Schizosaccharomyces pombe: one gene and its partner. Changing the gene in region 1 together with any one later gene gives a genetic interaction. Each region holds a gene or a part of one and is shown on either strand. Other genes may lie near its edges.

Region 1 (6,734 bases):
ATTTGGTTTTCATCGCTTGGGTTATGTTCGAAGTTGCTAAATAAACAACTTAGTTGGTTGACTCAATAGTTAACTCTGTAAATTAGCTACAAAATAGCAGAAAGACACCTCAACGTTTTTTACAATTATTATGAAAAGCTATGAAATTTAATGTGAATAAACTAGATGAAAAGAAACGACTAAATGAACCAACGAAAAGGTATTAAAAAATAGTATTTCGTATTAGATTTAATTGATTAACACAATGTGGTCAGTAATATACAGAGAATGTATGCATGTTTGCTTTAAACAATAGAACAAACGGATTGTAATAATTGAGAGGACAAGATCGAAAATGAACGACCTGAAAATCGTTCATCACTAGGGAATTTATTTCTTTCGGTCATATTGCTTTTAAAATAATTAATATTCCCGAGGCAAACATGATACATTAAACCTCTAGTTCATAAAGAGTTGTATAAGAAATGAGTAAACAAAACAATTTAAGTCAATTTCTTCCAGGGTATAGCTCATGAACCTTAAAAAACACAAACAATCAGTAGAAATATAGCAATGATCCCTTTAATTATAACACTCAGATATGTTTAGCAAGTTATGAGCACCGATAGTCAATCAAGAAAAGGACATCTCATACTACTCGTTTTTTATACAATATAATTAAGGCAATAGTAATATTGGAACTTCCCCATTATCATCTTATTCGTAACTGTTTAAGAAATAATTCCGTTTTTTGTTAACCTTCTCATCTTTTTTTCTGTTGTAGCTTGCTGTCCTACCAAATTTCGTTACACAATACCGGACCAACGTTGGAAACTACACAACACCCCATCTCACCCATTATCAGGTTATAAATCATCAATAATTGTCTTTTAAGATGTTTATGAATTCTATGCTTCGTGTCTCCAGACAAAGAGCAGCGGTCAGGAGTACTGTTTCTCTGTACCGTGGCTTTGTTTCTGCTTCAATCCGCCGTAATGAGCAAAACGGTAAGTCCTTTGAAAGCTTAGTAAAGTTTGTCATAGCAGCTTAATGGTTAAAGCTTGTTTAGTACTGGCTATAGGAGTAAAGCTTCCGTTGACTCTTGATCTCCGATGTACAGTTTTGCTATTAATTATATATCGGAAGTTAGGCTTGTGTGCCCATTCATTCTTTTCTATATTTTACAGACCTAAAAAGTAATCAAAAGAATGAAAATCGACGTTGCCTATAGCCCACTCTCTTAAAACGCTTTCTATTTCATCTATTAAGTCGCTTAGTAGATATGACTTGTTAATTTGTGCTGCCGATACATTTTAGGGCTTTTTAGCTTAATTTTTATCTCCTTCACTAACATTCTTTTAGTTGTAAAAGCCGCCGCTCAAGAATTAGCCAACGCTAAGGAACCTTCTGATTTGATCGGACCTGGTGGTCGTGACGGCGAGGTTCCAACTGATTTGGAGCAAGCCACTGGTTTGGAACGATATGAACTTTTATCAGAGCTTTCAGGGAGAGATGCATTTGATATGAAACCGTTGGATGCTTCTCGTAAAGGCACATTGACGGATCCTATAATGGTCACTTCTCTTGATCCTTACCGTCATATTGGCTGTACTGGTAGTCCTTCTGGTTCACATAATTTAATTTGGATGACTGTCTACAAAGACAAACTCCGCCGTTGTCCTGAATGCGGATCTGTATACAAATTAAAATTCATGGGAGATCCCAACGCTGAACACAGTCATTAGTATGCTTACCAATCTTCCATATCCCCTTGCTATTTTCATACTCTTTTATAACAATTTAGCTCTTTTATTTGAACTTTGAAAAATCAATGAAAACTGTATGCTGATCTATTTCTTATTTTGGGAACGATTCGATTATTCGTAAACGTATATCTTATAAATAATTCTATCTATTCAACCATATCTTAGTTGTTAATTCAAGCACCATTCTTTTTTTCTTGTAGTCATGCGGAAATATGATCTAATTATCGTTCCGAGTTTCATAAACGATAGTTATTTATTGATATACCACATCAGTGGTAAGTCAATAAACTTGTATTTTAAATTTTCCGATATTAAACTTTTAATAAAGCAACGTATTTTCAAGCCATTCTCTAACCATTTGAGGGTCTTTAGATGGAGCCATGTGCCCAACCGAGTTGGACAATGTAAAGGCTAAGTTACGTTCATCCAAAGTAAATCCATTAGTTGTCTCTAAACTTCCAGGAGATTGAGTGAATCCCTGCCATCCATTCCATGTTGTATTTTGCAATGCCAAAAGAGTTCCGGTCCAAAGAATTTGAAGATCCAATGCCCCAGCTAAGAAAGACACTTTGTATTTTTCTGTTAAGCGTGGAATTATTTCAACGAGAACTGATTCTACGTTGTTACTCACAATCTTTTTGTATAAGTCAAAATTGCATCCGTCTGCGAAGACACCCTCGCCGCTTGTCAACGCAGTTGAAGCTTTCGTAGCATGTAAAGAAGAGCGAACATCTTCTCTGTTCAGGTATGTGATTAAGGGATCATTATACTCATTGAAACTACAATCAAGGCTAACATCATAAGTTATGACACAGCTGTTCTCTAGATAAAGTAAAAAGTTAGAAAGGGAATACAAGTCACATCCAGAAATTGAATTAAATACATTCCCAATGTCTTCACCATCGAGAGCTTCCCGCTTCCTTAGAGAAGTAGATGTGCTAAAGTTGTACTCTGGTCTCCATATTGGGTATTGTTCAGTAGGAAACGTCAATCTGTTCAAAACTGAATCATATTGACATTCTTTATTGCGCTTTTTAAACTCTTCAGATATTGTGGAAGAAGTATTATTAAAATAGTATCCAAGTTTGCTGATATGTTCCACCCAAATAGAAGCAGTAATTTGTTCTTGAGTTTCGTAGTCCGCCGTAAGTCCACTGACGATTCCCACGCCCATAAAATTTATATTCAAAGATGGTTCAGAAAGTAATGCCTCTGCAAAATTGGCGCTCCATATGCTACCGTAGCTTTCGCCGACAAGGTAGAGCTTTTTCTTCATTAAGTGGGGAAACTTTTGGTAAAATGATTTCAGGGCATTTACAAAATCTGAAGAAGCTTCTTCAATCGTAGTTGTATATGCCGCCTGTCCTTGGGAGTACCCCGTACCAAATGGCTGATCTAACCATAACATGTTGGCGAAGTTTGTCCAAGATTCAGGATTAAGGGATGGTGAGGGGCTACTTTGGGATATTTCAATGGGTCCATTTTCACTGAAAAAGCCTAATGTTCCAGCGCATCCAGGTCCTCCTTGAAGCCATACTATGAAAGTTTCCGAATCAACAACAGCAGGGGCATATGTATAAAAAAGTGATTTATCGGAATTCGCTTCCAAGTATCCAGAATATAATTCCGGTAATGATCCCTTAAATTCAGGAAGTGATTTAATTCGATCCGAAGAAGGAGCAGCGTGTTGTCTAGGTTGAACAGTCTGATTCGAGGAAGCAGAACTCGTGTTGGCTTGTTGTATACTGCATTTCCAATGTACAGTGTAAGTTGGTAAAGCGTGAATGATAGTCAATTCAATTATTATAATAGCAAAAAGAGATTTCAAAAATAAAGACAGCATTGAAAAGAGAGACAATGATTTTGAGCCTATGAGAAAAGCGTTAGCGCTAAATTAAATATAATATTTATCATATTTGGAATATATTGATGTATTCAGTTTCGAAACAATTCTTGAAAAGTGACTATAATTTTATACGCTTCAGTATTTCGAAAAATGTGAAAATGCTATGACTTACTCGAATAAAGAAACCGGATTGTTTATCTGATTCATTTTCATAAGAGTTGCATGCTATATATGATAATACATAATAATGGGGATTCACTTGAATAGATTAGCATTGTCCATTGTTTACAATCAACAACAATAGAGATGGGCAACAAAGACACCCAGCGAAGTACCATTTACTAGTAATAGGCTAATTCATTTAAGTTTTTCAACACAATAGTCCTTAATGAAAAAACCAATTGTTTCGTTTACGCGGCAAGTGAATAGGGTAGGACTAGAATAACCTATGGTCTGTTTAAATCGAAAACCAGCTTATTTCAGCAGCGATCATTTATGCATTCTTAATGCTTAACAATGCGAGGCGACTCAAAGAATGGAGAAAATTGATTGTTTTATGACCGGTGGAATCGAATAATTTGACTTTTGCTATGAAGGCTTTAGCCCTTAGAAATAAAGAAATAAAATAAAAAATAGATAGATAACAAGAAAAAATCAATGTCAAATAATTTAGTTGTATTAATGAAAAATAAGAAATAACTAAATTAAAAAAATATAAATACATTTATATATTAGTAACACTATTTCTTTTTAAAGACCTTGAAATATTATGTGAGAAACTTAAAAACTAATAAAAATAAATAAATATAAAAATATAAAGAAAAAGAAAAAAATTAAAAATTATATATACAATATACTAATAAACATAGTGATTAATTAAATGAAAAAAATAAATGTTTCTTAAAGCATGGTTAAAACACACAATGGCGGATTTCTAGCCATGTAGCTCAATTTTTCTGTTGATCCGTTCTTGAATTATAGTATAGAAATTATTGCAATTGCATGAAAAAACTTATCATGAAACTTTTTTGGTAAAAAGAGCTTCAGTTTGTTGTTTTCATGTTCGAAAGACAGTTTCTATTAATATTTATATCCGTCCTAGAATGAATAGTAACTTGGTGCACCAAAAAAAACATTGCAAACAAACACAGCTGTATTCTGTCTGCAACTTGCTTTTATGGGGAAGTTTTTTATATAAAACATTTTGTTGTTTACTTAACAATATACTTTAACCAAATATTATTCTCTAAATTGTTTAGTAGCTTGTTGCGTCATTTAGCTAGTAAACACCAAAAATCGGCTGTTGTCAAAACGGCCGCCGTTTTGCACATACAATAAAGAACCCACTACCCCATAATCTTTATAATAAACAGCTTTTAATTAATTTCTTTTTTAATATAGATTTTATTTCCTATAATTTCTCTCTTAATTTCTAGATGGAACTAAATAAGATCCTGCATAGATGACGGAATCTGAAAGGACTTCACATCTTGATATTCTCTACGAAAATCAACGTGGGTATGACAAAGCAATTTTGCAGTTTGAAACTAAACATTTATACTTAGTATTATGCTATGTGGGGTACCCTATTTCTCTGAAAAATCATTGTTGAATTTTGACCCTGCTCCTTGGGTTGATCAGCATTTTGTTGCGTCTCCTGTCTCAACGAAAACAGCAACTTGTCCTGATCCTAGTTGGGAATGGGTATGTCAATAACTTCTTCTCTGTCTTCCTCTAGGACGATAGCGATAAGACCAGCATATAGTTTGCTTGAAAACTGTTTGCTAACAATATACTGCTTTTGTTGTAACATTTTCCTCTCTGAATTTAAGAAAGCTATTTGTTTTACACCAATGAAATTAGCTGTAGTTGAACCATCCTTTGGCTCAATTATTTAAGTTTCATTTGGTTCTTTGCTTTTGGTTAGCTAAATTTGTGAATGGATGTGTTACCAAAAAAGCAGTTTAAATGTATAGGCATGGCAGCGTTGGTATATTGACATGTCCGGCGATGTCGATGAATCAGGTTGGCAGTATGGGTTTTCATTTACCATGAACAATTGGCATGGTAAACCGGTTTCTCTTCATTCGTTTGTTCGTCGCAGACGATGGATCCGGAAGCGAAAAAAGGTATAATACATCACAGGCTACTTTAATTGTGCTAGTTTGAAAATTCGTTCCGTTCATATTTTAACGTTTTCTATAGAAAGAATTGCGACGAGATGAACTTCCTCTTGTTCCAGAGTCCTTCACAATCTCCTCTTCATATCCCATACAAAGGTCAAGTACTCAAACACGAAGCAGCTTTGAAGATGATTCATCGGACTTTGATCTTTCAGAGGTTACCACCATTCCCGCCCTTTTACGCGCTCTTCAGGATAGTCGAATTGACCGTGAAAAATTGGAAGCCCTAGCAACCTTTTTGGCTTCCGCCAGTATAGATGAAAAGGTTTATGTAAAAAACTGCAAAAAGGACCTTCTCAAAAACTTTGTTTTTGAACATAGTTGCCGTAAAGCTAATGAACTCCTAAATGCGTCGCTGACTGCGGCAGAAGCATCTACCTCCCAAGTGGCTTTACGAGAATCTCCAACTCCCCAGGATTGAACAAGATAATCAGCCCACTAATTTCTGACTGTATCCATTTCAATTAGTTTATTATCGTCTTTCCTCGAATGCTTTCCTCTATAAACGAAAAGGATCTGAAAGATGTGATACGTTCTTAAAGATACACACGTGTTTTTTTAATGGTTGTTTATGCTTTATTTATAGCCAAGTTTGCAAAATTGATGTCGCTAACTTGTATCTTAACAATTCGCTCACTACTACTACAGAAAGGTATATACAATTAATGAATACTCTCGTTTTTTAAATAAGGATATATTTGTGTTCCATTCTGCAATGTTAAACAGGAAGATGTACACTTTAAGCAGAAACTTGCTCAGTAAAAATGAGATACAATGTTTTATGAGCAATAGCGCTTGTTTTATAAAAATTTTCCAAAATGCTTGTTAAAGAATCGATTTCTTCTTTTGTAGTATCAAAGACTCGATACCAGTCTTTGGGTAATTTCATACCGATAACTCTAGCTGCCATTGCGATGCAGCCGCATGCCAAACTAAACGGAGGATACAAAACGCAAAGTC
Region 2 (7,260 bases), 280 kb from region 1:
GTTTCGTGGTGATCCGCATAGTGGAATAGACCAATCTGTATTTACTACATCGATTTTTGGTGAGTTTCTGATAAAAGAAGATTTAGGGGAGCAACGCTTGGAAGAACGACCGTTACGGCCTAAAAGTGCCTGCTGATGCAGGGGAGTTATAGGGCTGTTAGGGAAGACTAAGTTCCTTTTCTTTGTGGGTGTTGAAAATGTAGGCGATATGGTTGAAGAATTACCTGCTATCTCCATTTTGATTAACTCGCTCAAAATATATATGTAAAAGAAAAATAATGCAAGAAGCGAATATCAAAGGACAGAAACGTATCCAAAACTTTGAATAAAACTTCTAATGAATTAGAAATAAAGTGGATTTCAATTTCTTTTTGTTGTAGAAAAGATGAAAGAGAAAAAGAAAAGCGAAGAAAGAAAAGACTTTTTAAAAATTCAATAGGTAAGCTATATAATAATGTAACGTTAGTAGCAAAAAGAATTCAACTTTTTTGAAAGCCTTTATTAATTTTTTAAGCTTTGTTGTTGCTGTTTTTTTTTTTAGAGAAAAGAAAGTGCGCTAACAAATAAAGGACTATTAGGTTTCGTAAACAAATCGTAGAAGGAGAAACGAACGTCTTCAAGAATTAATCGATTTTAAGCAAATGAATGACTTTATGATGACCGGCACCACAGCGCATTAATTAATATTTTTGAATAATTGGATAAAAGAATGAGTCGAGTGCTAATATAGCAAGCAATGCAATGCAATGAAATAATATGTGAAGGAGAACCTGCTCAAAGAAATAATCTATTAACTGTATAAGGAAGAGATACCAGTCTTTTCCTTAAGACAAACAATATAGGACCAGCCTAATATATCAAAGAAAAAGGATCCGAAGATACTAAAACTTTGTAACGTTGAAATTCAAAGTGTTTAGATGATTTGTTTACAATAAATTCAGGACCACAGCGTTTAGTATATAAATGCTCTGAATACCCTAACCCTTGGTTACTATGGCTACCACGTGTAAATAAACAAGAGTGAACAATATTTACAGCTTATGGTAATGCTGCGCGTACAGTTGAGGTAAATATAACAACAAACTCTTGATAAACAATGTATTTTCTACTTTTATACTAAATATATTTAAATTCTACTGCATGTTTGTTTTCATTTCTCATCAACCCCCCAGTTTAAATCTGCTAAAATTTGTAACGCATTTCAACAATCTATCCCGTATTCCAACCACCCATCTTTAGCAAAGCGAGTGTTTTGTGTTGTTGCTTTGCTACACGCTACCTTACTAAACAACTGGACACTTTCCAAACAATATGTTGCCTGTACCTATTTTTGTAAAATTTCTGTATTTAGCAATCTATTGAAAAGTGATTTTTTACTATTTGGTTATTTAATAGGTATCCTGAACCCTCACGAATCACCAAGCATTTTTCAATTCAAATTACATAAATATATTTACTCCCATGTTCCACTGTCAAGAAATTAAATTTTCGCGAGCGCGTTTTTAATAAGTAGCTCTTGGCGAAATGCTTGTATTTGGAAAATCTACTGATACTTACTACTCCTGAATATTATTTCAAGTACTATCTAGATACCAATTGTTTTATCCCACGCGTTTCTACTTTTCGAAAGCCACCGGACGCCAAAATATTTAACTACCTAGCTACTTAACGTCATTTTGAAGAGTATCATACAATCAAATAACGCCAAAGTAATGTTTCAAGTTGTGTTGTTTACATTTGCTTATGTATAAACAGTTTTTCTTAAAAAGGGCTGGCTGTTAAGACATCCAGATTTCCGCCGACCACCCACATTTGTCCTCTTTATGGTAAATATGGCTGGACATGCTAAGAAAAAGGACATGATGGCTGTCCAAGTTTCCAAATTTGGAATAATATAAAGTATCAAGGTTCGCTTTTCTAATTACTATAACCTAAGTAAGACACAACCTCCTTATTGATTGTAAACAATCGGGAAATCTTGAAACCCAAGTGATACCTAATCTGGAAAACTTAAGAATTTACTAATCCATATCCACTTAACTATCATAATAACATTGGATATTGGAGTCTAATAAATCCTTAAGCAGCTTCTTCTTAATTATTGTATTACCTTTTTGATTTCCTCATTCTTTGTTTCATTTTTTTTTGTTACTTTAGCAATTTTAGTTTAAATCTTTTATTTTCTCTGTCTTTCCTTTTAGTCATTTTTGGTTTGCTATCTTTTCACTTACTTTATTGTTAGGAACTATGAGTTCCTATTTACGTTCTTTTATATTTGGTCTTTTGACCATAAGTTTGGCACAATGCTCGCCAATCCTTAAGGATACCAAGGATACCAAATTTTCCACAGGCTCTAATATTAGCTTAAAAAAACGTGATACCAATGTTTTCGACTCTGTTGTTGATACTATCAACCCAGCCAGTTATTTCGGCACCGTTTCGCACCCAGTTACTCCTGCCGGCGTCAGTACTGACAGCTTGAGCTCCCCTATTGAAACTAACAAATTTTTTGATAATAATTTACTTGGTTCTCGTACTAATTTCATGTATGCTGATCCCTTCAGATATTGGTGGCAGTCTTCAGACACGATGGGTGGCATTTGTATTGCTCATACCGATGACAATCAACGTGTAATGGATACGGACGATACAATCCCTTCCTATTATTATGAACCCATCGGTATTTGTTCGCTCGGATTTGGTGCTTCTGGTATTACCTCTAATACTGACCCAATTGTCGACGAGATTGATCAGATGTCTGCTCGCTTTACTTTCTCTTGGGACTCTTCGTCTATGCAACTTACTTTGACTGAGGGTATGGCCGTTACTACTGCTGTCTACACTAATGCTATTCCTCAAATTTTTTCATCCACTCTTTATATCAATGACTTTGTCGAAGTGCCGGGTACTTCTGCTGTTCAAAAGTATCGTGTCACGATGTCTGATAACCACGTTTGGCTTATTTACATTTATGGGGATAGCCTTACGTTGACTGAATCCACATCTCAAATGCTTGTTGGAAGCAACACTTTCAATGGTTACATTCAAATCGCGAAAATTCCTCTTGGAGATGGCACCGCTGAAGCTCTTTATGACACTTATGCGGGTGTCTATATTACCGGTATTAGTATTTCCGGATATGTTGAGGATGCTGTTGGTTATTACTCGTTTGATTTTACGACTGCTGGGGATACTTCAGTAGAGCCTCTATTTTTCTTATTGCCTCATCAAGTGGATACAGCTGTCAGTGGTACCAAAGTTACATCCATTGTTTTGGCTTCTCTAGTAAGTGGTGATATGAATGCCGCAGCTGGAAACTCTATAACATTCGCCGAAGCTATTCCTCAGGACATTGGTTTTCTTCCATGGTCGCCGACAGGTGGTCAGATTGGTTATTCGGAAGAAGCATTAGAGATCATCGCTGAGGTTGCTGGTACTGAATTGGGCGAAGACTTCTCTGCCAACTCTAATTTGAATTCAATGTACTATTCTGGCAAAGTTTTGGCTAAGTATGCAATGCTGTGTGTTACAATTAATGATATTCTTGGTGATGAGACCAGCAGCGAACAATGTATTCAAAAACTAGAGGCTGCTTTTGCCCGTTTTGTTGACAATCAGCAAATTTACCCTCTGACTTATGATAACACTTGGAAAGGAGTTGTCAGTGTAGCTGGTCTATCTGGTGATTCCTTGGCTGATTTTGGTAACAGCTACTATAATGATCACCATTTCCATTATGGTTATTTTGTTTTCACTGCTGCTGTAATTGGTCATATTGATCCTGACTGGATTAACACTGGGAACAATAAGGAATGGGTTAACTTTCTAGTTCGTGATGTTGCCAATCCATCATCAAATGATCCTTACTTTCCAAAGCACCGAATGATTGATATTTATCATGGTCATGGTTGGGCATCTGGTTTGTTTGAGTCTAATGATGGCAAGGATGAAGAATCAACGTCCGAAGATTATAACTTCTTTTTCGGTATGAAACTTTGGGGTCAAGTAATTGGCGATTCTGATATGGAGGATCGCGCAAACATTATTTTGGGCATTGAAAGAAATGCTTTGAATAAGTACATGCTGTATGCTGATGGAAACGTCCAGCCCACTTCTATGCAACCTAATTATGTTGCCGGTATTACATTCATGAACAAAATTACTCACACTACCTATTTTGGTACTAATATTGAGTACATCCAAGGAATTCATATGTTGCCTATCACTCCAATTTCAGCTTTTATCCGTGGTCCTAGCTTTGTACTAGCTGAATGGAATGCCTTACTTGCTAGTGTCATTGACTATGTAGATAGCGGTTGGAGAAGTCTTTTATATGCTAATCTAGCTATTGCTGAACCTGAAGAAAGTTATGAATATTTCTCCAGTTCTGATTTTAATACCGATTACTTAGATGACGGGGCCTCTCGTGCCTGGTATTTGGCTTATGCCGCTGGCTTATGGGCTAATGATGCCGTTTATTATCCTGTTAGCTCTTCTTCTACCACCACGACCTCTACGAGTACCGGAAGTGTTACGACAACCTCTACTACTGCAACTGCCAGTTGTACACTACCTATATCCTATACTTCGACTCCTACTACTACAAGCATCTCTGGTACTTGTAATGGTGCTACGTTTGATGCAAGTTTGTATGTATGCGACGGAACTGTACTCTGCCCTATTGTTAATGGTGTATCATATCAAAACTGCAACGGAGCTTGCTATAACCCTTCGCAATATGGCTGCGACAATGGAGCTTTGGGCCCTGTTCAATCTTCATCGACCACTTCCTCCATTACGCCTACTCCCACAACTACTTCCTCAATAACACCCACACCTACTACAACTTCAACAACTACTACCGCACAGTCAACTGGCATGCAACTATGTGGCTCTAACTACTACGACGCATCCTCTTATTATTGTGACAATGATCAGTTATGTCCTATAATAGACGGAGTGGATTACTTGAGTTGTAATGGTGCATGCTATAATCCTTCCCAATATGTTTGTTCTGATGGTTCTTTGTCTCCAAACACTGTTACAACAACAAAAGCTACTACAACTTTCACACCTACACCTACCACAACTACTACACCTACACCTACTACTACATCTGCTACATCCACTAATGTGATAGCCCAATGTGGATCAGCTTGGTATGATTCACAAAGTTATATTTGTTATGGCAATATACTGTGTCCCATTATAAATGGGTCTCCATTGTTAGCTTGTGGTAATGCGTGCTATGACTCCTCTATATACGGTTGCTCCAATGGTGCACTTGTTGCTGCTTAAGCATGACCAAAGTCCGGAATTGTATTGCGAGGTGCTTTTTTGGATTTCTTCAGATGTACTATACTTATTGCTTGTATGTTTTCAAACTATTTAAAAAACTACATTTTGTTCATAATACACGTCTGGAACGTGAACTACTCTCAACTTGAAACCCTTTTTGGATATCGTCTAGGCCGGCTTAGAGATCAATTTATTAAAATTATTCTTGCTGAGTTTTTCTTTTTTGCATCTTTTTGAATTAGTTGGTTATTATTTAACCACTTATTTTATTAATTGTTCACACTGGATGTGAACCTTTAGACTTATAGAATAAAATTTATTTTAAAATACAACTTGTGCAGATGTTTTCAGTTTACACAAACTTGCCTGTCGTTATTGTTTAGTTGAAATTAGTTCGTAAAAATTCATTGATACGTAAAAGTAATAACAAAATCAACAAAGATGAAACGATGGTATTATGATTAATAAAAAAAAAGGCTTCACCCATTAGAATTTTAACAAGATGTGTTGATATTGCTACTATGTGTGTATCTATTAATCAACATTCTATATATCTTTTTTTAAACAATACGAAAAGCACTTTCTATCATCTTTATGCACGAACTCAACGATGCAAAACAAAGTTTTCTGACTAAAAGATCAAAAATTGTTGCTGCTTTTGCTTCTTCATTATCAATACCGAAACAAAGTTACAACAATTCCTTCTAATTAACTGAATTTTATGTAAACTCGAACGCAGAGTCTTAAGGACAAAAATACATCACTACATTTTTTTACACATATAACATAATAGTAACAAACAGCTTCCACAAAGCTACAGTACTTATCATCATCAATTAAATTAAGTTTTTTAATACAGAACCTATAGAAGCATAATATACGGAACTTTTCATAAAAAAAAAGAAATTTGAGATCACTCAACTAAATGATAACAATACTAACCAACACCTAAACCCACAGCCATTTGAACAAAAAGACGTAAAAACTCAATAAATTTAGACGGCAATACCAATGACACCACAAGCGTTACGTGCACCAGCGTTACCAGTCTTCAAAGACTCTTCACTAGTACCCTTACCAAGATCATCCTCACCGGCATGAATGACAATGGTACGGCCAATGATGCTGTTGGCACCAAACAATGAGATAACAGAATCAGAGAAAGTAGTCTTGATGTTGCCCTGAGCATCGCTTTCCAAGTTACCAAGATCACCAACGTGACGAACAGCGGCGGTACGGTCACCGTGAGTCTTACCCTCTGGGTTAAAGTGAGGACCAGCAGAGGTACAACCGTTGGTATTATCACCGAATTGGTGAATATGGAAACCACGCTTGGCATTAGCGTCATTGCCAACGAGATCCACAATCACAGAAACTTGAGAGTTTTGATCGACTTGTTCAAAAGTAACGACACCACTGACCTTAGAGTCACCACGAAGAACTGCTACAGCTCTAACCATTTTGTATGACGATAATTTACTTTAAAAAAATACAACAAGAGAAGGGGTGTTTTGAGTAATTAAGTGTTTTGAAGGAAAATCAATAAGATTTTAACCACACTTCAAAGTTGGAGATTTCGAAAATTTTGTTTGGAATTGGAAGAGGATAGGGCGGCGTGTCATCGCTTATATAGTAAATAGCTCCACGCGGAATATACATGAAATTTTAACGATATCAACTCAAATCAATTTTTCGATATGACCAATGTTTTTTTATATTCTAAAAACGAAGAAATTGTCTTTATACTTATCGATTTAACAAATTTGCTTTACAAAGCATTGTCTAGTCCGTGCCTTCGAGCCTCCAAAATAGGCCAATAAGCTACGCCGAGCATCACCTCAGCTTGGCGTTGGCTTACTCCACCAGTATTCGTAATCATATTACGTGCTCCTTCGCGGAATTGAAATTCCGCTAAAGATGATAACGCGCCACTCGAAGAATAAATAACGATATCTAAAGTTG

What was found. A genetic interaction does not mean that the proteins touch.
Region 2: mutations in sxa2 (region 1) and eng1 together harm fitness more than expected from each alone (negative genetic interaction), as found in Schizosaccharomyces pombe (one large-scale study listed by BioGRID).

Annotation. Positions count from the first base shown.
Region 1 is NC_003424.3:710,427-717,160, forward strand, and holds sxa2 (serine carboxypeptidase Sxa2), read right to left. Parts: upstream 4,024-6,734; 5' UTR 3,589-4,023; coding exon 2,065-3,588; 3' UTR 1,791-2,064; downstream 1-1,790. Other genes in the region: cox4 (cytochrome c oxidase subunit IV), read left to right, coding at 875-986, 1,342-1,724; mug65 (spore wall assembly protein), read left to right, coding at 5,054-5,109, 5,157-5,295, 5,568-5,720, 5,797-6,195; lcp1 (cyclin L family cyclin), read right to left, coding at 6,514-6,734. UniProt on the Schizosaccharomyces pombe protein: Involved in degradation or processing of the mating pheromones. Its loss causes a persistent response to the pheromones. It may be required for stabilization of enzymes that are essential for zygote formation. May degrade the mating pheromone P-factor.
Region 2 is NC_003424.3:996,706-1,003,965, forward strand, and holds eng1 (cell septum surface endo-1,3-beta-glucanase Eng1), read left to right. Parts: upstream 1-1,926; 5' UTR 1,927-2,247; coding exon 2,248-5,298; 3' UTR 5,299-5,656; downstream 5,657-7,260. Other genes in the region: ubiquitin ligase Slp1, read right to left, coding at 1-237; superoxide dismutase Sod1, read right to left, coding at 6,294-6,758. UniProt on the Schizosaccharomyces pombe protein: Cleaves internal linkages in 1,3-beta-glucan. Has a role in cell separation where it is required for the degradation of the primary septum after completion of cytokinesis.